3 linked regions of the Oreochromis niloticus genome follow. The main gene of each other region encodes a partner of the protein of the gene in region 2 in a complex. Links are inferred from orthologs where the notes say so. Each region holds a gene or a part of one and is shown on either strand. Other genes may lie near its edges.

Region 1 (10,684 bases), on a different chromosome or scaffold from region 2:
GACAAACATTTTAAAAAGAGGCAGACGGCCAAAATGGTTTCTACCATTATATCACTGTTTTATATGTTGGTACCGAGTCAATGTTTAGCATCCTGTATGATTAAAAAAAAAAGAGAGAGAGAGAGCACAGTATTATTCTTTATGTATCCCCCCCAAAAAAACCTTTAGAAGAAATCCCCAAAAAAGTCTTTAATCAAAATCTCTTTTTACACAAATCAACCCAACCGTGACTTTTATAGTTATTGGGAAAAACTCATCCCCTTCATGCACCTATACTGTATAATTCTGAGACTGATGTTAAGTAGAAATCAGTTCATTTTGCTCACTTTCAAATAGTTTTGGTGACTCAGAAATGCCTCTGATGTTTAAAAGACTGAAATACTTCGAGTAAACGTAATAACCAAATGTCCAAACATGGAGTTGGAGTTGCTGCGTCTTTTCCAAGGCAACTACAGTACATTGTTTTTTCCTCTCCAGTGGATTCAACTGATAATTCTTCACATTCACCCAGCAATGACAAACCTGAGAACATTTCGGAGGGCGGTCGCACTCACGAGACTCTTCAGTGGACCTGTGGGCTACTTCCAGAAGAGGATGTTCCAGAAAAGCAGCCAGCATGGATAAACCAGCAAGGCTATGAGTGGGTAGACTAGAGATCCATACAGGGAGTGGTCCAGGATCCCCTGTGAAATGACTGATAGATACAGCAACCACCCATCTTGGAAGCTGACAGGCATTTCTTGCAGCTCTTGAAAGAAAAAGACTGAAAACAGGAGCGTGCAAGCTGGGCTGAGGATGACCAAGATGAACGCTGACAAAACCCTGGAGAGAGAAAAAGAGCAGAACACAGTTTTAGTTCTGTATGGTGATAGGGGGCTATGAAGGCCAAAGTGTCTGTGCGGGTGTTTACTTTGGAACGTGGGGTGTGACAAAGGCAGCTAACGGCACCAGGGTGAGAGCCAGAATGAAGCCTAAGGAGAAGTTGATGAGGGCAGTGCAGCCCAGCAGCACAGCCAGATACAGCACCGCGATGAGCTTCAGCACTCTCCAGCCCTGCTCCGTGCCCTCCCCCGACAGCAGTCTGCAACAAACAACACAACAGCTCACTTAATCTCCCGCGTCAAGTTAGCCATTGTCTCATAATCAACTAAAATTAATGTTTTGACATGTTTACAATTTAAGTTTATGTACTGAACTTTGAGGGGTAATCCACACAGGAAGCTCACTTTAGTTGATCGACTCATTCGGGCCCCACAAATTTTAAGTCGCCGTCACCTTTTTTAACTTAAAGTTACCAAGTGCTACTGACTTTCTGCGGTTTCTGGTCGCTTAAGTGTGTGCACTGATGCATACATAACTCAGTGTGAGAACCCTAAATGATTTGAATTTGTGCTCATACTGAAAACTCAGTTTCATAGTTTGTACATTAATGTTTCGCCCTCCTCGAGTCACTCTACTCTGACGTCAGGAACTGCCGCTCACTGGATATTCTTCTCTCTTTTTCTGACCATTCTCTGTAAACCCTAGAGATGGTTGTGTGGGCAGTTTGTGAAATACTCAGACAAAGCACTTCTTACTATCATCTGATTGATTGATTAAATATTTGTGTTAACAAGCAGTAGGACAGGTGTATCTAATAAAATTACCAATGAAGGCTTACAAGAAAAATCAATTCACACACACGCACACACACACATTATGTAGTACCTGTGTGTGTTATGTGGCAAAGCCAGGCCTGCTGTGTAAATAGCAATTGCTGTCAGGACCACAGCCTCGGTCTCAGACACAGGAAAATGTTCAACAGCAGTCTCCTGAAAACGGATCGGCAGCGCGTACAGAGCAACTCCTGTCAGGTGGCTGATCACCAGAGGAGTCAACACCGACAGCACTCCTGGACTGGACTGCTGGGAGGAAGCAGATTTTTATTAAAGTGTTGATTAACCAGACTTAAGCCAGCAAAATTCAGGTTCAGTTTTGATGAGTTTGTCGTAGCACGTGTGTCTAACCTGATCAATGTCAGCAACTCCATCCTCTGTTGTCGATGGTGGAGTATTGAGTTGAACCCACAAGTCTAACGCCTGTATTACAGTCAAGGAAAAAAAACTCTGAAGGTTGAATGTGTTCCCACCCTGCTCTCAGCTGTTATTAGGTTTCTTTTATACATTTCATTTCATTTTTATTTCAGGATACACGCAGCAGCAGAATAACGGCGAGCAGGCCAAAGGCTGGCATGTAGTATCCAATAGAGACAAAGTGAGAGAGTGACGGCATGAGGTAGAAGAAGTAGGACTGGTGCAGGCGCTCCAGGAGGTTATTCAGCTTACGATACATTCCTTCCAGCAGCCTGCAGGACATTCATTTAGACAAAAAAAAGATCATAAAAGTGTCAAATTACAAGCAGAACATAAAAGCCTTAAATATAAACAAAAGCAGTATACACCATCTCTGACCTGCCGATGGTAGTGGCGTCAGTCTTGTACTGCCGGAAGCTGTTGACACCCTTGATGGTTGCAGCTTCGATGTGGTAGCGCAGAAACAGGCCGTGGTCTCCCCAGGGCCGCCCACTGGCCTGCTTCATCACCATTAGCATCATGGTCTGGACTGCGTGGCTGTACCCCGACACGCTATCCCAATCGTTCCTTTGCAGCTATAAACACATCCACAAAGAAAAGCTACATAACGACTCTTCAACACATAGTCTTAGCACTCTGCTAACCACACACAGAGCAGAGTGCGTCTGTTTATAAGCCTTTACCTTGCCCTGAATGGTGCAAAGAACTCCTATCTTCTGACAGAAGGCATAGAAGAGGTTTGCTAAGTCCAGGTTGGGTAACTGGCCATTGAGACCTTCCAGTACCAGGTCCAAACTGGTGATGACATCACTGCTAAGCTCCAGGGACAGTGCTGCCTGGATTGATCCACCACGGCCTTGTAATGGAGACCACGACATACCTGGATGAACCATTTCAACAGTAAAGTTAACTTAGTTATACATCTCATTCCTTTATTTTACTGTAACTAGATACACGTGTTTGATCACCTGTAGTGTTGGTGTGATGGTAGCCCTCCAACCAGGCCTGCATACCAATCAAATCATGCTCATTGACAAGGAAGATGATGTCCTTGGCCCAGTAAATCTGATCTATTAAAAAAACAACATTCATTAAACCAAGAAAAGCAAACAGCATCATTCAAATTGTGGAGAAGGAGAGGGGAATGGGTGCTGTACTCACTTCTGAAGTACTGAGCCAAGCCGAGAAGCAGTCCCACAGCCTGGTTGTTGCTATCACCTGGGCTGCAGGGAGCACTCAGCACCAGGGCTTCAGTCCGTGGAGCTCTAGGAGCTCGAAGGATACCATATACATTTGTGCCTTTTACAATCTGCCAAGAAGAGGAGACAGCACCAAAGGATAAGTCATTAAATATTCATAAAGATTGTGCAAAAACCAGTCTGTCTCTTGCTGAGAACAAAATCAGTTTTCCACGATAAACTCACATATCTCTCTTTGTTTTCATCAGGGAAGGGTAGTGTGCGAGAGAAGCTCTGAGTAAACACTTCCAGTCCTCGATCCTGCATATTCTTCACGAGCCAGTCCACTGGCATCCCACTGCAGAGACGCAAATAGTCAAACAAGATTACTGTAAAAACGATCAGACTTCTACCGAGACTTGAGTTTCAAATAACAACAAAAAACTAGGAACAAACTGCATAAAGACCCACAAGCACAAGTCTATAGTAAACCTTACCCAACTTTCTTCTTATGGGCTGCAAACTCCCTCCCGGTGGCCAACGCTCTCTCCCCAGCTGGAAAGCGCTCCTCCACCATGGTAGAGCCCATGGCATTCTCTGACATGTATGTCCGCAGAGTGAACGGCTCAAAGGCCAAACCCATGAACCAAGCCACACCGGCAAAGTAGCAGACCACACTAAAACAAGACAGAAGTAATATTAATAGAGAGAGAGAGAGAGAGAGAGCTAAACGAAAGTAGGCAGACGTTTCACACTGACTAAAACTCACCAGATTGGGGCATTGAGGCGAGTCAGCATACTGATCAAAGCCCGTCTTCTGTTTGGGTCAGATAGCAGCCCCATATTATCAGCTGTAACGTTACTCCAAAGCCTGGATTTACTGGCGGATCCTGAAGGAAACACACAGACAATTTAAATATGATTTGTTAACAATCCGTAAGGATAACTACCGCTGAGGAATACACATCGATATGAAGACATTTATGACCATTCGACGCTGCGGTAATCACGCCTTTATATCGAGCTGAGAAATTGCTTCCTGGGATCCATTGTCAGAGCATCTACTGACAGCTGAGGTTAGCCTGGTGCAGCGAGCTAGCAAGCAAGCAGGACGGTTTCGCTGAGTGGTAAATGTTTAAACCCGCTATACGCTGAAAAAGCTTTTTTTTTTTTTTTTTTTTTAAAGAGCTTTAACAAATTTTTTTATTATTTTGCAGAATATATATAAAAAACCCACCTGTGTCCACTGGTCACATCCACCTTCAGAGGTGGGGCTTTATCGCAGAAGCCGCTGCTGGACGTTTTCGATTTCCTTGTTCCTGCGGGAACATTACCGCGGCGCACCGACTTCCGCTCAAGCAAGTTAAAATAAAATAAAGTAAAACAAAATAAAACGACACAAAGAAATATTGAAAATACTGGATGAATAACCCGTTTCATCGTTATTAGGTACATGTTATACGTTATAAGGTACATGTTTAAAACTTCCCTTAAAATTTTTCTTAAATGCTTAAAGCTCGTAGTTTTCATTTAGCTTACCTTAATACAGAGTGACTTTACTCGTGTATTTAGTTTAAAACATAGTTTTTTAAATTATTATTTATTGCTATAAAATGTAGAACATCAATGTGGTAGCTTGTTTCTGCCAGTGGAAATATATATCTCAAAATGTGTGAGCTCAGAAGTAAGTCAACATTTCAAGATACTTAGTAACCAGAAAGGGTTAAAATCTCAAAAATTTTGAGTTGGACAAACAAGCTTCCATCATAGAGAGTAGGGAGCAGGTGGGGAAGATAACCGGGGGTGATGGAGGTGTGTCCTGGAGAGAAGGTCAGTAGAAACAAGAGAGGATACATGTTTCAATGGCTGGGAGGCAGGTGGAGAGGTGAAGCTGCAGGAGCAGACGTCGTATAAGTAGACAAGTTTGAATACCTCACTCACAAATAAACAACCAATAAGGAAACGATGCATGACTAAAATATTTATTATTACATTTATCACATACATACAACAGTATTCAGTGACTGATATAAATGAATTAAACGTTAATATCATTTGTAAATATTTAAAGTCCAATAACACTTTCAAGCTGCACTCGGAGTCCACATGTTCCTGCTGCCGTCCCACGTCACTCTCCAGTGAGCACCGAGGCTTCTTGAAGATGCTGCCTCACCACCTCATCCAGCACTTTGCTCACACCTTTACAAGCAGTCATTGCAGCTTCAATCAGAGTCTCGAGGTGATCCTGATGCAGTCTGGCATCCATCTGCAGCAGAGCGATCTGTCCACCTCGGGGCAGAAGCGCTAAAGCCAATGAGCTCACGCCTCCACTTTCCTCCGCATAGCACAGGTCAGCGAGGGGGGTCTCATCCACAAACCCTACAGTGCAGGCACACACATAGTCCCGCATAGGGATGCCAGCGTCAATCACTGCCAGTGTGGCAGCATTCACGCACACGCTGTAATTCCCTCCGTCTGACTGCAGAATCTGTTGGAAGACGATGGAAACGTGTTTGTGAACAATTACAAAGAAATCTATAATACCTATAATACCTCTCACCAGATGAAGTGTCAGTCCAACACGAACCTTGACATAGATATCAATTTGAGAGCGAGGGTACAGCTGGGTCATCACAGCAGCCTCAAACGTCTGCTTCAGGTGGAGGCTCATCTCAGTGGATTTGCGGTCTCCGTGTGGTCGTCTCTTCCTCTCCGCTGTGCTGAACGTGGCCATGCTATACTGACAGTTGATAACTGCTCGATCATGAAGAGTCCGACTTCGGGAACCTCGCATCTGGAGGAAAACGACACGTAAGAACTGATGTACAGCTTGGACTGGACGTTACTGTGCTTAAACACTGGGACAATGTTAACTGCACTGAACATAAAGAAATGCTGCAATATACACCAACTGGACACTTTTTTTGGTGCACTTGTTCGACGGCTTGTTAACGCAAATATACTTGGAATATAAACGTATCATTTGCACACAGTCAACCTGATTATTGTTGCTGACTGTGTCCATCCCTTTATGACCACATCTTGTGATGTTTGCTTCCAGCAGGATAACACCCCACATCACACACCTCAAATCACCTCAAACAGGTTTCTTGAATATTCTCAAATGACCTCTAGAATCACCATTTCTCATTCCAAAGGCATAACAGGAGATTAATATTATGGATGTGCAACCAACAAATCAGCAGCCACTGTGTGATGCTATTATCTCAATATGGACTAAAAAACTCAAGTGGAAAAGTGTTGTTGAATTCATACCATGGGCCAAGGTGTACCCAATCAAGTGTCTAGAGAATGTATATGTTATCATAACTTTGATTTCAATTAATACTTCATGCTGTTGAGCCTTAAATAAAACTTCCTACACATCTGGTCTGCTTTGAGCAATAATTTAATAATGATACTACACTGTGCAAGTACTGCTACAAGCAAAAGATCTCGCTGAAAATTCCCCTTTCTCAGGTATTTACACTATATTATATCAAAATGTGGCGACTTTATGTCACTGGTGTGATGACCATAATCAAATGCATTTTATTGTTTATCCCCACTAACCCTCCCCTCCATCCGCGGCACTTACTTCGTGGGGACCGTACACCACGGCCAGAGCTTTGGTGTTCCCCTGCTCTAAATACGCAGAGCCGTCGGCCTGAGTGAACACACCCATACGGGCCTGAAGCTTCCGCAGCTCGGTGGCTTTTCTTCCATCTAAACGGTATCCTTGGTCAGACAGCAGTTCCAGGCCCGCCATGTTTCCGTAAACTTCGAATGAACGGAAACGCAGCGTCCCACGTGTCTCCTGCTACACTACATTACCCATACGCCGAGTACCTACGGCAACACCATAGGTCCAAACCGAACGACAACTTCCGGAAAAGAAAAACAGCCAGAGCGGAAACCATGAGAAGCAGAGTTAGTATCCACAATAAACCGTTTTCATTGTGTTTAATACTCTGGTTTCACGTAACTGGTGGCTATGGTCATCTTTTATATACAGTGTTGTGGTCCAAATATGTAGTGATGGATTGTCAGTTACAACAAATACAGAAATATAGTGGTTAGCACTGCTGGCTCACAGCAAGGTCCTGGGTTTAAACCACCAGCTAGACAGGGCCTTTCTCTGATGAGTTCACGTTTCCATAATGCTTGTGTGGTTTCTCTCCAGCTTCCTCACGTGCATTGGTTAACTTGTGATTTTAAATTGACCAAAGGTGTAATGGCTGAATGCGTCTTTGTGTGAGCTCTTTAACAGACTACTGATCTGTCCAGGTAGCACCAAGTCTTTTACCCCTTAGTCACATGGAAAAAGCCCCAGCCCACTTCTAAAAAGCTAACATGTATTCACCTGTATTCAAGTTATGTGTAATTAAGCTGTTCATACCAAGATGCCAAATCAGGAATCCATAGTGCTCACTGTGATACAAACTTGCTTAAAACGTCTAAAATAAAATATCTTCTCTTGAGGCCTCTGGACTTTTGATACTACCCAGATCACACAGTAGGATCCGCAATCCACGATGGAAGAAAGGGTGCAAGAAAATTCCAACACTTTTAAAAATAAAATTTATTAGCATCTCTAATGTGTATAAATAAAAACATATATGAAACAATGCATATACGTATGATGTAATGAGCTTAACAATAACAGGGTTACATGTGATACAAAGGAGCAGTCTTCATTTTAGCCAGTGTATTGTGAGGAAAACTGAAATCAAGCTTTCAAATATGCATACCTATAAGTTGCAAATCTACATTCTTTGACAAGAATGAAATAAAGAAATCTCTTTGGGGCGATAACAGGGAGAATATGGTAAATATCCTTTCTTTTATGCATTCCTGTTCAAAGATTTTAAAACATCTTTCATTGAGTACATTATACTTTTTTTTTTTTTAAAGATTCACTAAATGTTGAGGCGCGGAGCTGCAACACTATTCACACTGACCCTCTCAGCTTTACATAAAAGTTAAAACCCTAAAAGGATTTCTCTTTACTCCCTTTTACCGAGGTCACGTTGTTCCACAGACATGTAATGAGGGTCTTTATAAGCAGGCCCGATGGGGACAATATGATTATAATGTTTGACACAGCGACAAAATATTGTAACATATCAAACTTTACATGTAACTAGCGGACCCAAACAGATCAAACAAACAAGTGGATTTTACATTTTTACTAATGTAACAAGGTTTGTCCTTTTCTGCATGGCTTGCTGTGCCTGGGTCACGATACAAAGGAGACAGTGAACATGGGGGTGAGGGGGGCTCATCTAAGGATTTGGCTCTCTAAGGCTTAAAGCAAAGAATGGAAAGGACCTCTCTTCTTGTGTCACCTAGCGTTTTCCCATTTGGTCATCCTTTAAACAGTCAAAGTTGTCAAATGTCTGGACAGATTTGCACCTAAGACAAAATCTAAATGTGATGCACACTCTTAATGTACATTGCTGACAACTGGAGGGGAATCCCTACAACCCACAATGTGTGTATCATTATTGGCCACTGTCAGTTTTTCCTCATAAATTGAAAAATATCACATTTTTATAGGGGATAACAACATCCAAGACTAACTGCTTCAAAGTAAAAAAAAAAAAAAGGATAAGTACAAAAAAAACAACAAAAAGAAAGAGAAAAGTGATGTGTCTGCTTTAATATGCAGGTGTACGTGACGGTGACAGGTTATCGGCACCCAAGGATCATGGCGACCTCATTCAGCCTTGTGGAATGAAGGGACTATGTAGTAGATCTGAAAAAGATGGTCTCTGCTCCATCCCAAGTCTTCAGAAGAGTGCAAAGATCCCCTTATTTTCCCTGATATATCCATGTTCTCACGTCCTAAAACTCTGCAAACTCCTTCGCGCATTTTTCCGTTAAAGAAACGCGGATTTCCTCCTCCTCGTAGTCGTCGAAGTTGCTCGTGTCCCCCGGGCCTCTACACTTTGGTATGAATGGAGCTTCAACCTGCAGAAGAACAGAAAGACTTGTTTTACTGGGTGGGATTATATTATATTTATGCCTACACTGGCTTGTCAGTAGAGCAGGCAAGACTGTATTGTATTACAGTGAATCTAGACAGCATTTGTTGTCCTGGCAAACCCCAAATGCTGTCAACTTAAACGATGTGCTTGTCAGATAGCTGGTGAAGCCTCTTCCTCTACAATGGAGGCAGTTTTTAATAACTTAACAAAAACTGGCAACTGCAGTTTGTGTAACAATTCACCAGGTGTGCAGATACGAGAGCACACACATCTAAATTTCCCTCTCAAGTCTGCTTTTCATTCCTAAAACTACTTTATTCACATCCTGAGTAGAACAAAGCACAAAAGCATGAATCCTTTCATTAGACATCTTAATCCCATCTTAAAAATCATCCTCAAAGCATCTGATCTGAAGAGCTTCCACACCACAGATACAGACACTTGTGCCTTCATAAATAATCAGACATACACTTTACAAACCAGCTGATGCATAACAAAGAGTTAAACCTTTAAAGCCCTAACCATGAAATCATTCAGATAATTTGTTCATCGAATCTTCTGACAATTTTTGAAATTTATCGTTTAAAAATGTATTGTCCAATTTATTTAGGTTTTATGGGGGGGAAAAAACAAAACAGCAGAATCACAATGATGATGAAAAACTGTATGTATCAAATATGTTACAGGTTAATGGGTACCTCTGGTATCGCTTGTACTTTCATCTTTGTCCCCTCTAATTTAACAGGATTTTGTATAGTTACATTTTAACTAGGGCTGCACAATGACTCAAATTTTAATCTCAATCATATGAGAGTTTGGCTTCCCATAACTGTTCAGCATCACATTTCCTGAAAGCACTTGACTGGGGTGATATACTCCAGATAACAGACCATCGAAACAAAATTTAAATGTCTGGCGCAGCACGACGTGGAGCTTGTCCCTAGAAGCGGATCATCATTCATAGTTTGGAAATACTTTGGATGTAGGGCAAGCAACGTCAGCCAAGTCATATTGTGTCTGTGCTGCAAAGCAGCACAAGTACCTTATTGAAAACAAATCACAAACTGCAGGATAATTAATGCATGAAGGCTAAGGAAAAACAACGCAATGGCTGCTAGCAAGAATTTTCCAACATCAACTCAGACGTTTGTAAAAATAAGCCTCCGTATGAATATACGTCTGGCTCACAAAGACACACTGAAATCACAAAAGTAGCCACATTAATTTAACCAAAGATATGTGAGTTAAAAAAAAAAAAAAACAGGGTAAGTAATGCAGGCTTCTGGAAAATGATCAACATACGGGGACAAAAGAGCCGTTATCCCCAGCGCAATTATTTTTCCAAAGTGGTAATACCTGCCCTGTATGCAAAACGTTGCAGGGGAAATGGCAAATGATCTCAGAGTTGTCGGGCACTTGGTACTCCAAGCTTCATTCATATCCC
Region 2 (11,205 bases):
TGGGTGTAAAACAAAAGTGACGATAAAAAAAATGGCTTAAAAATTTGTGAAGTGTGCGCATTTTATTATCTCGTTCTTGTTTCATCATGCATTCTTCAAGACAATATTCTGACTATCATAAACAGCTTTATACATTATACAGTCTCTACTCTTCTGGCTCACCCTCATTGGACTTCCATCGAATCAGCAGGTTGAGGGAGCGCACAGAGCCAAAGGTGGTTTCTTGGGTCAGATCGTACACAGAGAAGGTCCGTCTGTCTCCCAGCACCACTGCCTGGCTCAGCAGGGAAGTGGCTGGGCTGAGCTCAAACTGCTCCCCCTGCAAAATAAAAACAGGTTTGTTCCAATCATAACTCTTGCAGAGCTTCAATAATATATTTGACATTATCTATACATATGAGTAGTGCCATTTATCAACAGATAATCCACTAGATCAGCAACACCTCCATGTTCATATAGCTGTCACAATTCGATGTTTTGTATTCTAAGGTTTGAATTATCTAATGATTTAGATTTGCATATTTTATATTAAAGGAAAAGCAAACCTGAGGGTTGTCTGTGATGTCGATATATAGTTTACTGGAGGAGGCCAACGGACAAGCTTCTGTCAGGGTCCGAGAGAACATCTTGAACAAAGACCACTCTGAGGGAACAGACAGCTTGAATTAACAAAAACCAGGGGAATGTTACCAAAACCCAGATATGGGACAGAGAACAAAAGAAACGTGCTTTCACTTACCTCGTTTGGCCTGTCCAGAGTTGTGCAGGTCAAAGACTGAATTCACCGTCTGTCTCAGCTCCCAGGATGTGGTTTTGCACTGCCAGTCCTGACACACGGACCTGATGTGCACTGCCTGGGAATGAAAACTGCTGTGGAAGAGTTTCTCTGACTTCAAAAGGACAGCGAGACCAGCCTGTTTGGAAAATATAGTGAGGAGAAAACTTAGTACGCTAACACATGGCATTGATGTCCCGTGTTTTTTTAGGAAGAAAAATGCACATATAAAGGGAGGGAGAGAGAGCGAGAGAGAGACATTTACCTTGGATCCACATGGCAAGAGTTTCTTCCAGGGTGTCAAATTCTCTGTGCAAACAATTTCTCGTGGGAGGGTGGCATAGCGAAGGAAGCTGTGGTCTGTCACTTTAACACACACACACACACACACAAATATTGCATATGCAGTACAGTGAGTCCTGGGGCATCTGCAGTGCTGTAATGGGTATTCAACTGTCTAACACGCACCTCAGAATAAGACTATCACATGCTCAAATAAAATCTAATATATATATTAAAAAAGAGGCATCCTGAATACAGGTAAAGCACGCATTTTATTGCAAAAGGTTTCCTTAATGCAAACAGGGCCTGTGTAAAAAGTGTTCATCTGTTTACTTATTCCCAAACAAAAAAACAACAAAAAAACAAACAAACAAAAAAAACCACACAACTAAACCAAGTTTCTAACAGGGTGCAGCACACCTGACAAGCCTGGCAATCAAATCACCTGTAAAGCCGACAATTTGCAGTAGCATGAGGTGTAAAACCACTAGAAACAACAGTTTAAAAAACAAAACAAAAACAAAGCACATGTCTAGGTTAGATGAGGAAGAAGGTTACTGCACTAAATCTCTGAGACTCAATATTGAAAGAAATTAGCTACACATGGTCGTTTGGAACAAATGAGAATCTTCCTAGAGGTTGCCAACCTTCCAGAATTCCTCTGAGAGCACTTTGAATACTCATCAGTGAGGTTAACATTCAAGCTACCACAGTGTTTGTGACTCTGAGAGACACAAGATAAAAATGACAGACTGATCTCCAGTAATCTGAAGCACTTTGTGGCAGCTGATGCTGCTAAAGTTGTTTGAATCATAACTGACCAGTGATGGAACAGGGTGACAAGAGGATTACTGCAAGAGGATTTTCTCTTGCAGTAATTCTGTATAATAATGTGATATTAGACAGTTCAATGGTGGCTGATGACACAATTAGGTTTTGCAGAGGTTCATTACTACAGATGATACTCTAAATGCAAAAAGGAGACTGACTGTACCGTTGCCTATTCCCAGGGGTTTGAAGGAGGCACTGGGCTGAACAGTGTTGGTGGAGTCAATGAAGTTCAGTGATGCACAGAAGATGCCTGACAAAACATTGGTTAGCTCCTTCCATGTAGCATCGACACTGGGAAAGGCAGAAAAAAGGCATGTGGAAATGTTAAAATGATTTAGCAAAGGTAGGTTAGGCAGCAACTACATAAAAAACAAACTGTAGCCAAAACTTGTGGGAGTAGAATTTCTGGCAGTTTTATGTTTAAAATCAATACAGCAAACCATTACGATACTTTGTATAGTGATATTGTATCAATACAGGGTCACCAAATATTGATACTCTGGGAATATAACGAACAAGAGGGTTCATCACATGCACCACCATCCTGAGATGATGTTAGCTGAGCAAACTTGCATTAAATTCAATTAAATTCACATTTAATTGATGTACCATCTGAAACAGATTGCATGTAATTCGATCCCAGACTGATAACAGATTATATCCCTCTTAATGCAACATTTATGACCGGTTTTACTGAGACTGCTGGTCTCATTTAGCAGCAAAAAAACTACCTGAACTGTCTGCTAGTTCGGCATAAGCTTGAGAAATATCACTGTCATTATAAGAACTGAAGGAAAAAACACAAAAACAAAAAACAGCAAGGACGGTTATGGATGAGCAAAACTGGTAGGTTGGTGGTTCAATCCTCTACTGGTCTAGTCTGCATGTCAAAGTATCCTTGGTCCACATACTGAACCCCCAGTTGCCATTGATGCATCCATTGGAGTGTCATGTGTGCATGTTAGGTTAAAAATACTAGGTTCAGGAAAAATGTTTACAAAAGCAGGTTTATGAATGTGTTTGTGAATATGTGAATGAGGCTCATAGTAAGAAGGGGCTTTAAATGCTCAGAGTAGAAAAACACCATATAAGTACCGGTCTGGGGTTTGTTTGTTTTTTTGCCCCGTTATTAATCCACACATTCATTTCATCTCTGCTGTACTCACTCTGTCACTGAGTCTTGGAACCAGACCCAGAGCTCAGCTCCAGGTGGCGATGGTATAAAGGGTTGCCCCCACTGCATGGTCCTCCAGTAACCTTGTGTGAAAGAGATGTGCAGCTCTCTGACCGAGAATTTGGAGATGACCTGGCCCAGAGACTTGGGAAAGAGCCGGTAGTGGGACACTGAGAAATGTAACAACGTGGTTTAGAGTTAGAAAGAGCAAACATTGTTGTAATTTTGAGAACAGGAGGAAGAAAATGTTATTTAATTAATGTGGGGTGTATTAAACTCGTATAATATTGCTAATAATGAATAAACACTCCTGAAACCAACTAAACAGGAACAGACGCAGATTTTAACAGGAAGTGGACATCAATAAATCAACAAAAATGTGGTAATTTATAAGAGAAGGTCAACTGACGGAAAATACAGATGCCATATCACGTGGTAATCTTTTTAATGTTTCGATCTGACAGATTATAGGAGCATCGAGAAGCAAAATATGAACCCTCATTTCGAAGCATTTAAATGTTTGTCATTTTATACATTATAGAGCTTTTCTGTCCGCTGTTCGACAGACTCAAGTATATTCATAAGTTACTTCTATAAGAAGATAAAACATTTACATGTGTGTATTTTCTTATTCGTGTCTAACAGAGTGTTATCTCCCTGCTAGCAGTTAGCTTACCTTTGTTTTCTCTCATGAAGTCTGTGTCCCACAGGGTGCGGAACTGGAAGCTGGCATAAATATCTCCAGAGTGCAGAGGTCTGATGACCAGCTCTTCTTGGAAGTCGTCTTTAGGCTGTGGTACCGACGAAGGTACCACTGTTTCAGGGGCAGAAGTGCCCTGCGTGTCGGCTGCAGCATCAACCGTAGCGGCTTCTTTAACCTCGGTTGCTTCCCACCGTCTCCCCTCCACCGCGGGCTGGTCAGCCGTTTGTTCCGCTGTTTGTGCATTATGGTCAGCCCCACCGTGGTGGTCATTAACTGGCGTCGTTTCATGAATGTCTGCGACAACAAACACGGACAAACTAAAAAGAATAAACAGCCAAGACGAGCAGCTGCACCTGTGAGCAGCCATTTTTCTCGAGGCGGTGGTTGACTTCCGCGTTAACGCGTCATGAGTAGAACCAGCCAATGAGCTGCTTCCATATGGAGTCATCCTTGGCACTGGCACGAGGCTGCTTTGTTTTAAGCCTAAATATTTTCTTTAAAAAAATTATAAATACATGCTAACATGGAATATGTTTCTGTTTTATTTTAAGCAAATTCTAAAATTAAAAAAATAATACATTTTAGAAACTATTAGTTTCATGTGAAGGCGGTATGGAAGCGGTATGACAAATTATATTTTATATGTAGATTACATAAATTATATTATATCCATATGAAGACAATAAATGAATCCATACATAAATGTAGACTATAGTAAATGCACATAATATGTCATATGTCAATTTGTGAATTGTAACCAATCAACCAATTAGAGGCCTGAAAATTCTCAATTAATTTAGCCTGTCAAACGTCTGCTCATCTTAATCTTTCATTTTACAGCATTACCAATGCTGCTTGCAAATATATTAAACCTTATACACCCTGAATAAATGGTGCGAAGGGCTACTGGTGTCTTGCCAAAACCCATAAAAAAGCTACATTAATAATTAATAAAGGCCATAAATTTAGGTTATCGGTGTGCGAATAAGCATTGTGCTCTGTTGAATATTTGGTCGCGTTGCTGGACAGGGATGGGCATCATCAACCCGTTGGCATCATCGGGGGCAAATCACCCCTCCCTCATCCACACATCATCGCGCACACAGCCCAGACTCACACGCACACGCACACACACACACACACGCACATACACAAACACACACGGAATTTCGGCTCAGCCATGGCTCCCTGTTAGATGCTCAAAGCGGCTGTTGTCAGAGCGAATTATATCTACTCTCGCTCGCTGCTTTCCTCCTGACCTTGCCTGCCTCCGGTTGGGTTTTTAATATTTTATTTAGGATTCCTGCGCTGCCTCCCCATGGCTACATCGGATGGACTAGACGGCTGTCTGCAGCGAGGCAGATCTCAAAGTGACCCGAACATACTCACCGAACCGGGCATCGAGTTGGCTCACGGCACAGGTAAGATAGGCGTTATTTTGTCTACATTCATCCGCTCCATAGGCGAGTTTTTATTTTTATTTTATTTTATTTTTTTAAGGTTGCCGCTTCTTTGGCGTTGCAGACCTCCTTGTTTGCCTAGCGGGATGTCAGAACACTAAGGCACAATTAGCGCATATGCTCCCAACACTGGATGTAGAATATGACTGTAACGCTGAATCGTGGAGCTGCATGTTGAAAACGAATGCCATCTCAGCGTCTGTGAATGGCTGCATTCCCCACCAGATTTGCGCCTTACGAAGACGCTTGTAGCCCTTGTGGCTGATATGGATGCGAGTAGTATTTGGGAATCCGCGTGTTGGCCGTTTAATATGATATTACCGTGTGCAACTTTTACTCTATTGCCTATCTATTGCCTTCCACGCTATCCCAGCCCCTTTATAGTGAACCCAGGCTATTTAGCATCACAAAATCTGCATGCATGTGTGGTCCATGATCCAAGCTTAACGAATGTTGGTTTCCTGTCTGATCCACTGCTATAGCGTTGTTATTAAGAGAGATCCATGGAGGGATTCATGTTTTGACGTGTTGCATTAAAAACAAAAGAAAAAAAGCACATGCTTATCTTATTGAAGGCCTATGCCTAGAGCTCTGTCCCTGTATTGACAGCACTGACATCCCCACCCCATACCGAACTGATCACTGCTGTGATCAATAGCCGACAATCCACGTGATATAGGCTATAGGTGGAAATATACCCAATTTATCATCACAGCCTTGTACTGGTACAATCGGACTGGCCAGTTATTGATCCTTCAGGTGATCTTTCCAATATGGAGTCCTTGTTTGTTTCTCTGTGGGTTAGTCATCTAATGTTACTCATCTTTCTGCTTTATGGAAGAGGATAATGAATTAAACTTTCATTAATGACAGAACACCAGGGAGCACTCATGCCGTGCTCTCCTCTGGTGAGCTCCTGGAAGTGAATTTGGTTGTTGTTGTGCTGGAAGCACTAGTAGCCTATGCATTCACCTAAAATACACTGATTTCTTTTCTTTCTTTTTTTTTTTACGTAAGTGAGACTATTTATGGTCATACTGTGTGGGTTTGGAAAGAGTCATTGCTTACACCCACACATGGCGAGTTTTACGCACATGAATGCTTGACTGAATGATTCAGAAAAAAAAAGCAGAGTAGTTCACCTTTCAACTTATCACTCACGAGACTTGCTTTTTCACATTTCCAAAATCACACCTGCCTGCACTCATCAGCTGGCCATAGCACGTTTATAATGGAGCCTTGCTGAATTCAACCCTCCCAGGGATGATTTAATTCACACATAGGTGAATGTGATAATGTCACACTGGGTCTTTGACACACCTGAATAAACAACGCAGCAGTTTGGCGGATCAGCCAGGCCAGTGATGAGAGCTAAAGCTGTCAGGGAACGCCGAACGTCAGCCTCCATCCCTGGAATATGCACAACTGCATCACAGTTTCAGACACGAGCATGCTACATGAAAGACGGAGTAAATACAGTTGTAACAGCAAGGACAATACCGGTGTCTGGTGGCCCAAAGTACACAGCATTACCCACCCCTTCTCTGCGCGATCACCACTGCACTAATGTCTGGGGCACTAAGTAATCCTTTGGCAAAGACTGCCTTTTTTTTCTCCTCCCAATACAGTAGATCTCGCAGCTGCAGAGGCTTACAATGTGTTCATACACTTACTCAATACTGGGAGGAGAGTCAATAGAGACAACAGTTACAGCTGACCATCTCAGAAAACCAGAGCAGTGTTTCCTTTTTGAATGCGGCTGCAGTAATACTACAATACAGACTCGCCCTCTCAAAGAAGGGCAAGTCGATAGGTCTCATTGCAAGTGTCCAACAATGCAAATCCTACTTTCTTTCAATAAAGCGCACAGAGTGACATTGCATTGCTCTGTTGGGAGTTTATCTAAATTGAGGCAACCTCTTTGAGCTGCAGATTTACAAGAATGATTCAAAGTTACAGGAACATAAGTCCAGCAACAGGAGCAGCAGTATAAACACGTTTAATCAGTTCATTTGGACAAGGAGCCCTTAGATTCCCCTGCTAATAAAATGTCACTTTCACTCAAAGTTCCACTTAGTCATTGCAGAATGTCGACCAAGGTAATGGTGTGGAGAGGACACCTTGACGCTTTGCGGACAGGGAGCTTGTCCAAGCAGGGTTATCCCTATGGCTTCGTTCCTCAAAATAATTCTTTTCCCCTGTAGAAAGCTGCAAAGCTGGAGAAACAGTGGAGATGAACAGCACAGAAGCTGGAAGTTTGAGAAGAGTTGAATCACACAAATATCAGCACAAGCAGATTTATGGTGCACATAAATCTGCAGTTAGAGACTATTTCTATTATTGATTAAGTTTCACTTTTTTATTACTTTTTTTATTACAAACAATACAATGCACATTACAGTTTCCCTAAGACAAAGTAGTTATCTCCAGACTGTTAAATTCAGTTCACAAAGTTACAAACACAGAAAAGAAGAATATCCTCCACATGAAGAAATCGCTTCATATATCCACAGTAAATTCTAAGAATAAAAAAAATATATTCAGATGTTTTAAATCTTATAAATAATTTCTCTGTTTATTTGACATTTCATTAATTAGTTGCAGCAATTTACAAAGATGGCCAACTGCTCCTTCACTAAACACCATTCTTTGGCCAAAGACTGTAATAATTCATGGTGAAATCACTTTCACTTGCAACCCCTCCCCACTATATACCACATTGCTCAAGACCACTTCTGGTCTCCGCTCACATGACGACTTATCCAATAAGTACCTGCTGATCTGTGTTTTTTTCTCTCGTTTTGTTTTATCTTTCTCTCCTGGTCTTACTGGTACAAGAATAATCCTCTCAGATCTATCAAAAAAAAGAACAACTGAAGAATTCAGGTAAAAGGCGAGGACCTGCCTAATGAACAAGACGATATGTCAAACCCTGCGGAAGCTGATATTGAGCCATGACAATGACTCACCCCAAACCCGAGCGCTGTGTCGTACATAATCCCTCTTATATTCAGGGCTTGGTGAGCAAATATGGGAAATTATGAGTCAGCAGGTCTTATATAATGTTCCCGCAATTAACACAACATTGTTTGAAAGTAATGTAAACAAAAAGGTATTAGTGCCACAGGAATTCCTTACATAACAATGGTTTAAGACCCAGTTTCTGATTTCAGCGAGTTGCAGCGGAATAAAGAAACTGTAATTACATAACGAACAGAGATATATATATATGACCCTACCTGAAGAAATAGCCCTGCTTCAATTAAAAAAAAAGGAACTTTGACATTTTCAGGTAAAGAAAGGGTTAAAGATGCAAGAATCTGGACTCCTTAGAAGTTTAAAAGGCATTCTTAAAAGGAGACAACCCAGTGCTGGCAGGCGGCACATTTGAAGAATGTTTTTCGTCCACCTGTAATGAGGCCGTCAAGTATCTTGATGGTGTGGAAGAGGGAGATAAAGAAATGCTGGATGTGGCACAGCATTTGGTGTGGCCTTCCACTGGCACTGGCTCTAAACAGATAATTACACTGCATAAAGTAACTATCTAGCTATCAATCCAAACTACTGGCGGTTCATCAAGTTGTTGGGACGAGTTGTTGGGCTTGCCCGTGTTTACAGGTTTTGTGATGAGCGAAACTCCACCAGTTTCTGGGGCAGTTTTATAATTATTTTCTATTCCGAGTAATTAACTGTAAATTAAACTGTTTGAAATTGCAGTTTTCATTTAAGACAGATTAAGAGGCAGGCGCTCAGCGGTATGTGATGCCATTACAGCCCCACATTCTGTCTTCCTGTGAGTCTATTTTTTTCCCCTCCGAGTGATTGTCAACATCCTCAAGAGTGCAGAGAAAAGGGTGTGAAGCTGTTGTATTCTGCCGTGGGTCATACGTGTTAAGTGGTTAAAACAAAAGAGAGAGCGACGGTGACCGTGAAGTGGATACAAGTGAGAAAACAGAAAACGATCCCTCTGTTACAGTTTAGCCCATGACACCATTCTGTCTGTGCTTAGAAAGGTCGCCAGTATGCAAAACACGACCTCCAGTTTTATTCATGTGGTTGGTTTTTTGTGGAGACTTTTAATTTAAACAGGACATAAACTTCATCATGCACATGCAGCTCAATATTGGTCTCTCATTTTTGAATTTTGTTTGTTTATTTGTTTGTTTTTTAGCTGCGGTCAAGTTGAAAACTGTAAAACCCGAGGATCTATCAAGCTACATGCACACGTATGGCTGACATAAACAAGTTCAAGGGATCTGGATGGACAACGAGAACATATTGTATATAGATTTGCTCTTTGTTTAGAACCTGCAACTTTATCAAACTCAGCCAGCAAAGCTGTAATTCACGCTGAAGTCACGACTCATTCATCACGGTGAGCCTTAAGGGACTGTGAGTCAGTCAAGGCCACCTGTTAGTAGTAGCCACTGGAGAGCTATTCATTCTTCCCTCCACGATGCACAGAGGTCCCTTCAGAGGCCAGGAGAAAAAGTACATCTAATGTCAACTTGAGAGGAGCCTTCTGGTTGCCATAGAAGGTATTTGTCATATTCAGAAAAATGTGAATCTCAATAAATATTGAGTCAGACTTTCACCCAGGAGCCAGGGATGCATGTCCCCTTAGTGGCCACATGTCGTATATATGCAGTTTGATTCAGCTGCACTTTGGGAAACATGTTAAAATAGACCTTTTCCCACTATTGTCACAGTAACATGCTAACATGCCAAGTTCTCGAGTTTTCTGGCAGAAGGCCCTCAAGGCTAACTTATCCTTTGTGTATAAAATGTTCAGACATTTCTGATTGTCAAACCTAATGGATCATGTCCACTGTTAATGTGATGAACTACTCTGCTAGGGGCACTTGTGTGAACTTGAGCGTAACTGGCTTTTTCATCCTCTATAAATTACGGAACAAGTTAGTCATAGGCAACTGCAACATGGCAAATACAAGTGAAATGAGCTCAGGGGAAAGGGTCAAGCATCATTTGGCTGTACAAAAAAACCCGCCGCTCTAAAAGAAAAGTTAACACCCACAATTTTGTTTTAAAAACGATAAAAAAGGAAGGATTTGTCTTGAGTAAAATGAAAACTAATAAACAGTAACAAGGACTGCTTCAGAAATCAACAAGAATCACCAGATTCAAGTCACTTCATAGAGAAAAAAGCACGCAGACAGAAATTCAAAGAATGAGACAAGAATGAGACATTAGATTTTCTAAGAAACATCTACAGAATGATAGCGGTTCTTGAGATCCATCTTTGTCAAATAATAATTCAACCGACATGGATCTAATGGCAGCAAATTTGTGTAAATAAAAACCACGGGAAAATTCCAACCAGACTGCACTGAGCATAAAGTAAAGATCAGATGTGGGAACATCAAAGTCGGGAGCTGTTTTTTACTTACAGTGGCAACATCCACCTGTTGAAAGAAACTTTGTACATCAGAAATCCGAAGACCTGTGGCCCTCACAAAGCTTTCACTATAAATCCCTATGGAGGGAAAAAAAAAAAAAGCTTTGCTGCCTTAAACACAGAGAAAATTCTCAGGCTCTCAGCACAGCCACGGTAGAAACCACGGGCTTCAAATATTCAAATGTTTTCCACCAGTTTTAAAATGAAAATAATGATTCTTACTATCATGAATTACTATCAGCAACATTTAGTATTGGGTATCATTAAGGATGGAAATTCATAAGAATTTAGCGATTGCGACTCCATTATCAGAGTCACCTATCGATTCTCTTTGGGATATCATTAGCTGGGCTTTGAGAGTCAACACCATCTCTAAGCAAAATATCAAAGACATTACATCTGTTCAAATTAATGCATGCTGTGTGGTCAGACATTTCCCCTCTTTGCTGTCATCAGTGTTGGGGTCATTACTCAAGAAAGTAACTCAACACAAATCCCTATCCCAACAAGGACACTCACATGATCTTTCTCTTAGTGGAACACAAAGCTGACAGCAAAAAGCAA
Region 3 (10,223 bases), on a different chromosome or scaffold from region 2:
AAATAAAAACAAAGTGATTCATGTTCCTCTGATGTAATTAAAAAAAAGCTTCAGCAGAGCCAACGAATGAGATCAACGGGAAACAGTCACTTCCTGCTCGGACACAAATATGAGACGAAGATCTGAAGCGTACCTTTTATTGTGGAGAGGAAGAAGAGGGCGAGGACGGCGTTGTTCAGGCCACAGGTCGACTTGGCGACACAGGATAAGATGGTGAACGGGTTCAGCAGGTAACTGTGAGAAAAGAAGAACAATTATTAGTAATTAAATAAGTAAATAAAACAAACTGAAAACAAAAAGGAGAATTTTCAGGAGATACAGTGTGTTGTCCGTTTTCTCTGGATTTTCTCAAACTTCACCTCAGAGCGTCACGGAGAAGGCGACGCGTTCTCCTCCACAAAGTGATAGTGAAATTTTACCAGTCGTCTGGATGAAGCTTTTCTTCACAGCTATTTTAAAGTTTTAAAGTTGTGAATGTTGACGTTGAGAAGCTAAAACGTAATTCTTATCAACCGGAAATGATCATTATTTTATAATATGGTCATTAATTCTATATGAATTCATTTTAGACCCAGAATTCAGTTCAATTTTATTTATACAGCATCAAATCACAACAACAGTCGCCTCAAGAATAAATAATAAACTAAGCAGCTGGAAGAGCCTGAGTGGTGACACCTTTGTGTTATTCAGGGTAAGAAGATGAAATTTAAGAAGCTGAATCTGGCAGGAGAGAATGCAGTATGAGTGATGGTACTTACAACATGGCTACTTTCAGAGGGATGTAGTACATTTCTTTGGGGCTTCTGATGAGCTCCAGAGAGTCCATGGGGTAGCGGTCGGCCTCCAAAGCAAACTTCTGCTTTCTGAACTGAAACAGCATCAAAGACAAGTCAAATATATCAAAAACAAAGAGATGCAGACACACAAAGCCCCAAACACAAAGGTCTCACACAGAATACGTGAGCTGAAGTTACTCCTGTTCATTATTAGAGACGGGGTTTGGGAATTTAGGCCAACCCTACTTCTCTACACATTTTTAAGTATTTAAACTGTGTATTGTGATGTGTTCTTACCACTTGTTTGTTGTACTCCTTCACTGCCATGTAAAGAGCCACAGCGGTGATCACGTCGGCCAGCTGACGAGACAGAAACGGTAAAATGAGATATGCCTGATTTAACATTTGCTGCATTTCCACTTCAAGGTGGTCTCACTCCTTCTCTGATGTCTGCTATTTTTAAGAAGCTCTGAGGGAAATCTGTTCTGACCCTGTACCTGGTCCTCTGTGATAAGAGCTGGGTGTCCTCCACTGTGCCCTCCACCCAAAAATCTCTATTTTATGGAAAGTAGCGAGAATGTTAATGTGGTGAACACGGTTCATGATAAGTGAAGATCGTATTAGTGTGGCCATGAAGCTGGAGACACTCTATTCAGGGCTGAATCTGGTCTCTCATATGTTACTGGGAATCACATTAAACCTTTGCATTAACGATGAATCCTGGTTTATGAATTCCTGTATAATCCTGTGGGCATCGAACATGAGAGGACAAGCACGCTCCTGGTGTCTCTGCTGATGCCTTTGGACTTCAAAACTGTGGACTGAGACTGAAACCTGCCGTTCAGGTTCTGGGTTGTACTCGGAGAACCAGCTCTCATCAACATCTGCCTCAACAAGGTTTGTGGGAGGCTTTACAATCAATTTGATCACATTTCAGATTTTAACCACCTTCTTCTTTAGGGGTTGTCACAATCATCTGCCTCCATGTCACCAGATCCCTAACATCCTCCTTCACTACATCTATGAATCTTCTCTGTGGCCTGGCAGCTCTTGTCCAACACGCATATTCCCTATCCATCCTCTGCACAAGTCCGCTCCACCTGAGCCGTCCCTCTCCAGTAATGAGACTGCCTCCACTACAAAATGCTTCAAAATGATGTTTTTATTCAGACTCACCATAAATGTGATCTCTGCGTAGTCCACCAAAAAGTGAAACATGTAGATGATGAGAGGAGTCTGAAAGGATCAGAGCAGAAGGAGAATTCAACATGAACATCTAAACATCAACATGCCTCATTTGTGGATTTTCTGCTGACTCAGATCTCAGTTGTAGAAATACACCATCTATGAGGTCCAAGCATGTAATGGAAAAATCAAGAACCAGGAGCAACTGAAACATCCGAGCATGTCTAAATAATTAAATAAGACATTTATTGTCCGTTTTCCACCAACACGGCACCCGAGCAGAGCAACTTCAGTGCTTTCTGAGAAACAGCTAAAGGTCTTTTTGGTGGAAATGCATGAAACTAGTTTTAGACTGAGCACCGGCACCTTGTTGGTGAAATGTGACATTCGAGAGGTGGTTTACAGATGCTACTCATCCTCCGAGTCTACCAACGGGCAGCCTTCTTTTGCTGATTGACTCTTGTGTTCTTTATTTAATACATTTTGTGTTTGTTGAAGTTAATTTTCTATCTCTGTGAACAAAGTTTGATGCGTTGACTTTTGGGCACCCCGATCTCGCTCTGGATGTTTTAGAGTATCGTGCCCTCCCCTCTTAGAAATCTTCGGTCCAGCCATGGCCCGACTCTGAGGAAGCCCCTCCTCCCTCAGAAGATCTGACTCTGACACTTTCACTTTGTTCTGATGATGCAGTTCTCACTATTACAATGCTGCTCAGTAAGCAAAGTTTTCACCTGGGTGTTACCTGAATGCTGCTTCAATGGAAATCTGACGTTTTGTAGAAAGAAGTTAAAGTTCCCTTCCACTGTGATGGTTCACCACGAAATGAGCAGAATCTGGAATGTTTCGTCTTTGTTTTCCAGACCATCTCCTTCTAATTTTCTGATTATTTTCAGGTTCATGTAACAAATATAACCTTCAATGTTCACACACACTTTGTAATAGGTGTGTGTGTGTGTGTGTGTGTGAGTGAGAGAGAGGGATTCACCTCATGGAAAACATCTCCAGAATATGGTGAAACTCCCAAATCAAGCAGAGCCAAACCTTCAACAACTGCAGAGAAACAGCAACAGAGAAACAGTTTTATTAAGACTGCTTGATTACAATAAAAATCACAACCACAATTATTTTGGTGACTATGGAAAATGTTTATTTTTGCATTTATGGAACTTCAACTTGGTGAATTTGGTCTGACATTTCGAGAGTGAAGCTACATTTTAAACCATTTTCACTCTATTCCACTATCATTAGAAGCCAAAATCATAAATGATGTTAAAATCTCCAACTTTTATTATTTTTTACCAGCACTGGGCTGTTATCTTTGAATGCCTCCTCTTGAAAGTAGCAGTTCCACAGCTTCCAGTTACAACTGCCTAATGAAAAATGCATGAAATGTTTCTGTGTGAGTCTCACAGCATGTTGGTCATGTTTTCTGTTTTACAGAAAAAGCTCAGATTGTCTGCAAACCTGCACCTCTGGCTCCTGTCAGGTACTGTGTCATCATATGCTAAATGGAAACTTAAACACTGTCCACTAACATTTCACAAATTCATCTAAAACAAAACCTTTGTCTGTGGTAACTAATGGAAAGCTGATATAAATATGTCAAATAATAAAGTCAAATCAGCGAGTGCCTCCCACTGTGAACCAGTTGATTTTTTTTGTACATTAATTATTTTCAGATATTTACTGGCCATCGAAGCACATGGGGTGGGGGTATGTGCATTTTCTCCATCACTTTGAGCCCTCATAACTCAACGATTACAGAAGAGGTAGTCAGTTGCTAAGGGTCAATTAACCAATTATTCATGGGGGTGTATATATATATTTTAGCCTGTTTGTATACTTTTGTCCAAATTAGGGTGTCTGCACAGTGGTGCAACTGTTAGCGCTATCACCTCACAGCAAGAAGGTCATGAAGGCAGGGGCCATGTGCCTGTTAGTGGTGATTTTAAATTGGCTGTAGCTGTGAAAATGAATTTTTAAACACTTGCTGATGTAACATTATACACACGTCAGCCAGATGTTTTACAGGTGTAACGTCTACGTTACTATGCGCAAATGACCCCGTGGAAACTAATGTGGATCACAGGAGGATTTAAAGGGGTCCACAAATACTATAGACTGTGCAGATCTTTGTTCAGCCGCTGGCAGAGACTCTGGTCGTCATTACTACTAGTGGTCGATGGATGTTTGACAGAGAAACAACCACTGAGCTCCATTCATTGGAAATAACAAAGAAACACTTGTTTAAATCTTCCCCTACAGAAAGTAAAAAGTATCCGCTGTTAGCTTAATGTCAGTAAAACATCATCAAGCTTTCTGAATTTGAATCTCAGCTGCTGATTTTCGCAGCTGAACCGGTTTGACCGAGTTACCGGATAACAGCACCGATGAGAGGGAGGTGAGGGGACCCGGACGTGAACCGACCGCAGCGGCTCCAAACCGCCGCTGGACCCGCGCTTACCTCTCTTCCAGGCGGTTATCGGCGACACCACCTCCACCCTCTCTGCAATCAGCTCCGCCAAACTGGACCGGAACAGAGCGGCACGGATCGTAACGGCCACAATCAACAGCAGAGTCAAGGGAGCCGCCATCTTGACAAGGAAGCGCTGTCCGCCCTGCGAGGTGCACGACGGGAAATGAAGTCTCCAAATGTGTAGGAAGGAGAGAAGGAACCACAAGTCCAGATAAATAAATAAATAAATAAATAAATGTACTCTAAAGCAAATGCTGGAAATTAAAGAAAAATTTATATAGAAATATGAATATCAAAAAAATAGACATACAGATAATGGGTGCATGTGTTATCTTTTTACATGTTTGCTTGATGTCAGCTGAGGATTCATTTTACATGTGAAACACACTCTGACAGACAGGACAAACACACAAAGCGGAACAATTGTTGTCCTATACTTGTTTTCATCCGGAGACTATTTGTGTTGGATCAAAACAAAAAGCCGTACACAGTGAGCCACTACGCTTCCGCTAACCGTGCGGTTATTTCAAAAACAAAATTGACTCTGTTAAAAAACATAAATTTACTTTTTTCTGATCAGGTTAGGGTTCATTAAAATAGCTTCACACAAAGAATACAATAGCAAGCATAAAAATGCCATCTGAAAATTCATCAACTGACATTTTGGGGTCAAAGATCTCAAACTTAAATGAGCTGTGGGCCACTGCTGGCACTGTCATCTCATCCGAGGGCCACTTTAGTTTTCAAGTGGTACAAAAACTAACAAACAAGAAAACACCCACAAATATCTTAGAAAATGTAGTGTTAATTTGTTCGTTTGGTTTTTTTTATTTCAAATATTGTATAAAAAGGCAAAACTGCAAACGTGAATGTATTTTTTCCCTCACTCTTCATTAACTGAAGCCTTTCATTGAACTACCAAATAAACAAATTGGTACTCTCTTTCTGGCCAGACACATGGCAGCACTTCTGCCATAATTTTGTTCATATTTGACAAAATAAAAATGCAGACATCAGTGTACACATTGGTTTTTGACTGCTAGTGAAAATTGTTAAATAACTCTCTCACTAAACCAACAAAACCAATCCCTCAACATGTTTGTACTCTCTGTTCATGTTGCCTTCATATTAAATCATTTTTAAATATATAAATATATATAAATAAATACGTTCAAGGGCCAAATTGCATTATAATTCTTCATGTCAACATATGGGCCCAAAGTAGATGTGACGTGGGTCACAAGTGGCCCCCGGCCCGCGGGTTTGAGAAATCCTACTTTAGATTAACAGTTATACAGAGGTATAGGCTCTATTAAGATGTAATGAATTAAAGTAGGGAAGATTTCAACATTATTACAGTTAACCCAAACAAAATAAAAAATAAACCCAGGTACGAGAAAAATATTTTAGTTTGGTGCATTGGTGCACATGTTTTGTAAGGCTGAGAAACGCAACACTTCATGTCTACATGACATGAAGTGTTGAGTGTGTATTTTATTACTTCGGCTAAATTTCCCTCTTACAAATACCCCCACATTATAGTCAAACTAACCCAGAAACTAAGAAAAACTAAACTGAATAAGAAAACCTAATCTGAGAGCGAATCAAAATGAAACGTAATTGAAGCTAGAAATAATAAATGAAATAGAAATAAAGAGCAATGAAAAAAGTTAATACCTCACATAATATCACTGGATATTTTTATTTGCAGATAGGTACCGTTTGGTCAGCTCTCTGGTGCTTTTAAACTGAAAAGCCGCGAAGCGGAAATGGTTCCTGTTGCTTGGCACCGAACTGCAGCTTGACTCAGTGAAGCTGCTGGCCAGACTTTCGTTTTCATTTCTTTTGCCTGAAACTGTACCGATGTTGGCAGATTGAAGGAAAACATGGCTGGCTTGGAGGTGTTGTACACCTGTGTCGCAGGTAAGATAACCTGCCCGCAGGACGCCGTTGTGTGTTTTGTTCACTGGGAGCTGGTAAAGAACGGATACAGGTGCATCGGCTCAGGAGACGAGGTGAGTTCGCTTATTTTAGCTAAATCTTGTGTTAAATTATCCCACATAATGGAGAAGATAATATTTTCTTTTTTCATCATTCTTACGCCAAATTGAGAAATACAAATTAAATATTAGCAAAAAGATTCTCTATATGTGGTTTTCGATGTTTTTCGGACCGTAATGTCCAGTAAATGCTTAAAATGTCGGTTTTTGCAGTGGAGTTCTGTATGTAATATTCAACGTAGATTAGCTATAGCTTCATAAACAAGCATCACCTCCTGTGTGAAGCCGACGTTAACGCGAAGAATTTAAAAGTGTGAAAAATGCGTTTTCGGTTTCTTTAATCCAGCTGTCATGGCTGATATTCAGTTTGACGGCATCTGGTTTAAGAGCGACAATTTACCAAAACTGTCATGTCATCTTTAGCTGGCTAACCCACTGGGGGCAGTCATCCTGAAACACCACGGGAGTTTATGACACAGATTCGTGTTAGTGTGCAGCCTTGCTATCCTCCATCCTCTCCCCATGTTCATTTTACAGAAATCAACAGGTAATCAGTAGTATTTTTTTTTTTTTTTTAAATGAAGCATTTATAATGGGATTTAACGTGAAAAGGGAAGCGTTCGGCATCTCTCTGTGATTGTTTTATATAAAATCACTCTGGAATGACACCTGCCATTTAGTAAACAGGAAGAGTAAGTGACCCACTTATAAAATGAAACATTTTTCTTTATTTTGAACATGATGATTTGGTGAAAAGGTGTTTTTTTTTCTTTAGATATAAATAATGACAAATTGTTATGCACCTAAAAAATGAACTCACTCTACTGGATTTTTATGTGTATCATTATTGTTGTTATATTTACTTTTTCCACATTAGTTTTTTATTTTATTATGTGTAATTTTTACGTTATTGACCAATTTTGTTTTGTCACATTTTAATTATAGAGTTGATCTTGTTTATGTTAGCTAGTTTTTGTCTGTTTTACTGCAGCAACACAAGAATCTGCAGTTTATTTACAATTTTTTACAACAATCTTACCTTTGTGATGAGATTAGTATATGTCATATCTAATAATAGCACATATTTCTTGCTGTATATTTTAAGTATTGTTTTGTTATTTGCAGTGAACTGGCCAAATACTGATAACAAATATTGTGAAAAGAAAAAGCAGGTTTCTGCTGCTGCTTTTAGGTTTTTATCTGTCTTCACGGCGTCTGTGACCTTCTTCCTCCAGGCCCGCAGCAGTGATAAGAAGTCCGAGCTGCTGCCTGCTGACTGGAGTAACAACAAAGAGCTATACAGTCTGCGATACAAAGCCAACAACAGTGACACCCAAATGCTCCTCAAGGCAATCACTGTTGATTCCACCTTGATCTTCAATCTGATGGTAAGCACATAAACATTTGTAGGACTGGTCTCATTAGTTTTCTAGATAATGGCAATTTAAAATAGTGCCTTAAAAATGTTGGTAGTGTGTGGGGGTTTTCTCTCTATTAATGACAACAGAAACCTGAAACTTTGCATAACTCCCCTTAAGAAGAAGAATTTTTCCTCTGGATTATTTTTTCATTGGAGAACTGACATAGACTGTGCAGTTTATCCTGCATTTCAGTCCTGATGTAGGGATCCATGAAAAGCCTTAAAAGGGATCAAGTCTGATTTTCTAAATTTGAATCTTACTGTTCAGAGCAGACATCACTGCAGCCAGGGGTGAGGTCGCAAACACTTTACTTTTAAATTTGTATTTTTTTTTCGGTCCAGTCGAGTTTGTATCGATTAAAATGTTTAGATTAGTTTAGTGTTTAGTTCAGTGCTAGTTTTAGTTTTTGTCATTCATATACAGGTCGTATTACTGCACCGTAAGACTGGAGAAATGTAGATCTATGCAAAGATCTGACACACAGTTGTGTAAACTAAGAAAATATGATTTAGGTTGAGTTTACTATTTGCTGGTTTGTTGAGATATTATTCTACATGTTAATCTATCCTTTTAATGGATCGTGTGTGTGTGTGTGTGTGTGTGTGTGTGTGTGTGTGTGTGTAGAACTCCAGCACGCAGCAGGTGTCAGACTTAACGGTGAACATCAACGACCACGTGAACACTGACCAGCTACACACATTTGACAGGTTATTTTATTGAGCTGCTCTACTTTATTAAGCTTTTATTCTATTGACTTATGTTGTTATGATTATTTTAATTGTTGTGTTACTATTTTGGATCCTGTATAAATAATAATAAAATATGCCTTGTCCTCAGCCTGCCTTATACGGTTGTCTCAGATTGACCCCACCGACTTGTTGTTCAAATCTTTTATTTGTTGGAGAAAGCCTATTATAAAAAGGTTGTCTGAAAGGGAGTTTGGCCTTGAAGGGCAGTTTGTTTGATAACTAAAGATTATTTTGCATTGTGAATCATGCTGAGCTACTCTGGTAGTCAGAAAATAAAAATATAGAGCTGGAAAATAAATAAAGTCATCTCTCTTCTCTGCAGTGTGTTCAAAGATGCAGACAGTTTGTCGGAGAAGGTGAAGACTCAGCTGCTGCCCCCCCAGGACAGACCGACAGGACAGAGAGCAGAGAGGAAGAGTCGGCGGGATGAGGAAGAAGAGGAGCAGAGAAGAAGAGGAGAGGACAGTGACCCCCTCCGCATTCCCAGCAGGAATCCTCGCCAGGGGACACACCCTCACTGGTTGGTGATGATATAAACTGTGCATGCAAAACTTTACCACAAAACTCAGATTTATTCATAAACTTATCATTAAATATGTACATTTTAGAGGCAAATATTGTCACGTGTGACACGCAGTTACATATTTGTAATTTTCCTGGTTTCTCTCTCTTTTGCATTTGTGGAAAAAAGAGGATACTGCCTGAAACTACGAGTCAAATAGAGATAATAAAGAATGCCTTACTTGCTAATTTTTCTATATCCACCTACTTGTGCTCATTAATGAGGTTCTCCCACCAGCATAGGATCAAGTAATTAATCTTATGTACATTCATGAAGTTTTAACCTTATATTTGTGGTATTTCTAGTGTTACTCAGACTGAATATAGTTTAGTCTATTCATTGGCAGTCTGGACTGTTCAGATTTTCCTGTTCTGTGTGCATTAATGTGCATGGCCCACTCACTTAATAAATTAGAACAGTCTAAAAGTCCAGTTTAACCTTGAACGTTTTTAGATTTGTTTGCACTTTGCAGACTTGGAAAGAACTACATGACAGAAAATCAATGAACAACCAACAAGTTGTAATCCTTAACATTTTCATGGCATCAGAGCCTCGTGTTATTAATATTTATGACTGACATTTTGGCATTTGATACACACACACACACACACACACCTCTGGATGTGCTGAGATTGTGGCTTGTAATAAGTCTAGACAGAGCATCTGTTGGTAAATGAGGACAGAGCTCAGGCAGTGTGTGTGTGTGTGTGTGTGTGTGTGTGTGTGTGTGTGTGTGTGTGTGTATTACTCATGTTCAGGGACCTAAATCTGTTTACACATTCCCTTCTGGGGACACAAAGTAAGTTCCCATAAAGTAATTATTTAATTTTAGAGGAAAGACTTAGTTTAACGTTCTGGTAAATGTCCAGGGAATGAGAGGGAATGTGAGTGTAATATACTCTGAAGTGTGTGTGTGTGTGTGTGTGTGTGTGTGTGTGTGTGTGTGTGTGTGAGAGTCTTTGTCTTTGTAGTATCCTCTATACAATATTTACAGCAGGGAGAAAAAGTAACAGACGTTGAGCTGACAAATAAAGTGTGTGTGTCTTTGTGTGTC

Evidence for each region. The genes of interacting proteins can lie anywhere in the genome.
Region 1: the proteins of pigt (region 2) and gpaa1 are in contact, whole or in part, in a cryo-EM structure (PDB 7W72), measured with the Homo sapiens proteins. The link is inferred for Oreochromis niloticus from reciprocal best matches to the Homo sapiens genes PIGT and GPAA1. Residues at the interface, in NP_057021.2 of Homo sapiens: Gln91, Gly92, Phe93, Arg95, Arg97, Tyr98, Ser108, Phe211, His212, Thr213, Ser214, Asp247, Phe249, Ile250, Arg340, Gln355, Tyr357, Val358, Ser359, Gly360, Tyr361, Gly362, Leu363, Leu371, Tyr373, Lys441, Asp459, Pro460, Asn461, His462; in NP_003792.1 of Homo sapiens: Arg97, Ser98, Val99, Gly100, Glu102, Tyr104, Arg134, Ala135, Pro136, Arg137, Ala138, Ala139, Ser140, Thr141, Glu142, Arg171, Gly172, Gln173, Ile174, Tyr199, His200, Asp201, Val202, Leu212, Gln213, Gly214, Arg215, Ala218, Arg311, Tyr312.
Region 3: the proteins of pigt (region 2) and pigu are in contact, whole or in part, in a cryo-EM structure (PDB 8IMX), measured with the Homo sapiens proteins. The link is inferred for Oreochromis niloticus from reciprocal best matches to the Homo sapiens genes PIGT and PIGU. Residues at the interface, in NP_057021.2 of Homo sapiens: Tyr361, Gly362, Leu363, Gln364, Lys365, Arg394, Leu395, Tyr396, Val397, His398, Tyr416, Pro418, Ala419, Gln420, Asp421, Arg422, Gln445, Glu447, Leu450, Leu451, Lys452, Trp453, Thr454, Pro518, Thr519, Pro520, Asp521, Phe522, Ser523, Met524; in NP_536724.1 of Homo sapiens: Glu30, Lys42, Arg43, Val45, Glu46, Ser49, Leu50, Leu53, Val55, Ser59, Gly60, Ala61, Val62, Pro265, Asp266, Leu267, Pro269, Leu273, Trp275, Tyr276, Phe277, Phe278, Ala279, Glu280, Met281, Phe282, Glu283, Phe289, Phe293, Asn296.

What each region holds. Positions count from the first base shown.
Region 1 is NC_031982.2:18,036,706-18,047,389, forward strand, and holds the start of gpaa1 (glycosylphosphatidylinositol anchor attachment 1 protein), read right to left. Parts: upstream 4,613-10,684; 5' UTR 4,488-4,612; intron 4,391-4,487; exon of another isoform or gene 4,239-4,390; intron 4,141-4,238; 5' UTR 4,094-4,140; coding exon 4,020-4,093; intron 3,928-4,019; coding exon 3,748-3,927; intron 3,609-3,747; coding exon 3,497-3,608; intron 3,382-3,496; coding exon 3,234-3,381; intron 3,143-3,233; coding exon 3,041-3,142; intron 2,953-3,040; coding exon 2,756-2,952; intron 2,648-2,755; coding exon 2,451-2,647; intron 2,345-2,450; coding exon 2,191-2,344; intron 2,079-2,190; coding exon 2,007-2,078; intron 1,905-2,006; coding exon 1,708-1,904; intron 1,082-1,707; coding exon 911-1,081; intron 823-910; coding exon 579-822; 3' UTR 1-578. Other genes in the region: exosc4 (exosome complex component RRP41), read right to left, coding at 5,379-5,738, 5,838-6,044, 6,849-7,019; prkacbb (protein kinase, cAMP-dependent, catalytic, beta b), read right to left, coding at 9,098-9,223. UniProt on the Homo sapiens protein: Component of the glycosylphosphatidylinositol-anchor (GPI-anchor) transamidase (GPI-T) complex that catalyzes the formation of the linkage between a proprotein and a GPI-anchor and participates in GPI anchored protein biosynthesis. Binds GPI-anchor.
Region 2 is NC_031984.2:22,914,090-22,925,294, reverse strand, and holds the start of pigt (GPI transamidase component PIG-T), read right to left. Parts: upstream 4,203-11,205; 5' UTR 4,133-4,202; coding exon 3,739-4,132; intron 3,233-3,738; coding exon 3,055-3,232; intron 2,180-3,054; coding exon 2,052-2,179; intron 1,142-2,051; coding exon 1,041-1,141; intron 915-1,040; coding exon 740-914; intron 644-739; coding exon 546-643; intron 320-545; coding exon 163-319; intron 1-162. Other genes in the region: phactr3a (phosphatase and actin regulator 3a), read left to right, coding at 5,084-5,186. UniProt on the Homo sapiens protein: Component of the glycosylphosphatidylinositol-anchor (GPI-anchor) transamidase (GPI-T) complex that catalyzes the formation of the linkage between a proprotein and a GPI-anchor and participates in GPI anchored protein biosynthesis.
Region 3 is NC_031970.2:5,251,329-5,261,551, reverse strand, and holds the start of pigu (phosphatidylinositol glycan anchor biosynthesis class U protein), read right to left. Parts: upstream 4,613-10,223; 5' UTR 4,556-4,612; coding exon 4,426-4,555; intron 3,012-4,425; coding exon 2,947-3,011; intron 2,013-2,946; coding exon 1,953-2,012; intron 1,137-1,952; coding exon 1,074-1,136; intron 869-1,073; coding exon 759-868; intron 235-758; coding exon 134-234; intron 1-133. Other genes in the region: psmf1 (proteasome inhibitor PI31 subunit), read left to right, coding at 6,324-6,452, 7,673-7,825, 8,483-8,565, 8,930-9,127. UniProt on the Homo sapiens protein: Component of the glycosylphosphatidylinositol-anchor (GPI-anchor) transamidase (GPI-T) complex that catalyzes the formation of the linkage between a proprotein and a GPI-anchor and participates in GPI anchored protein biosynthesis.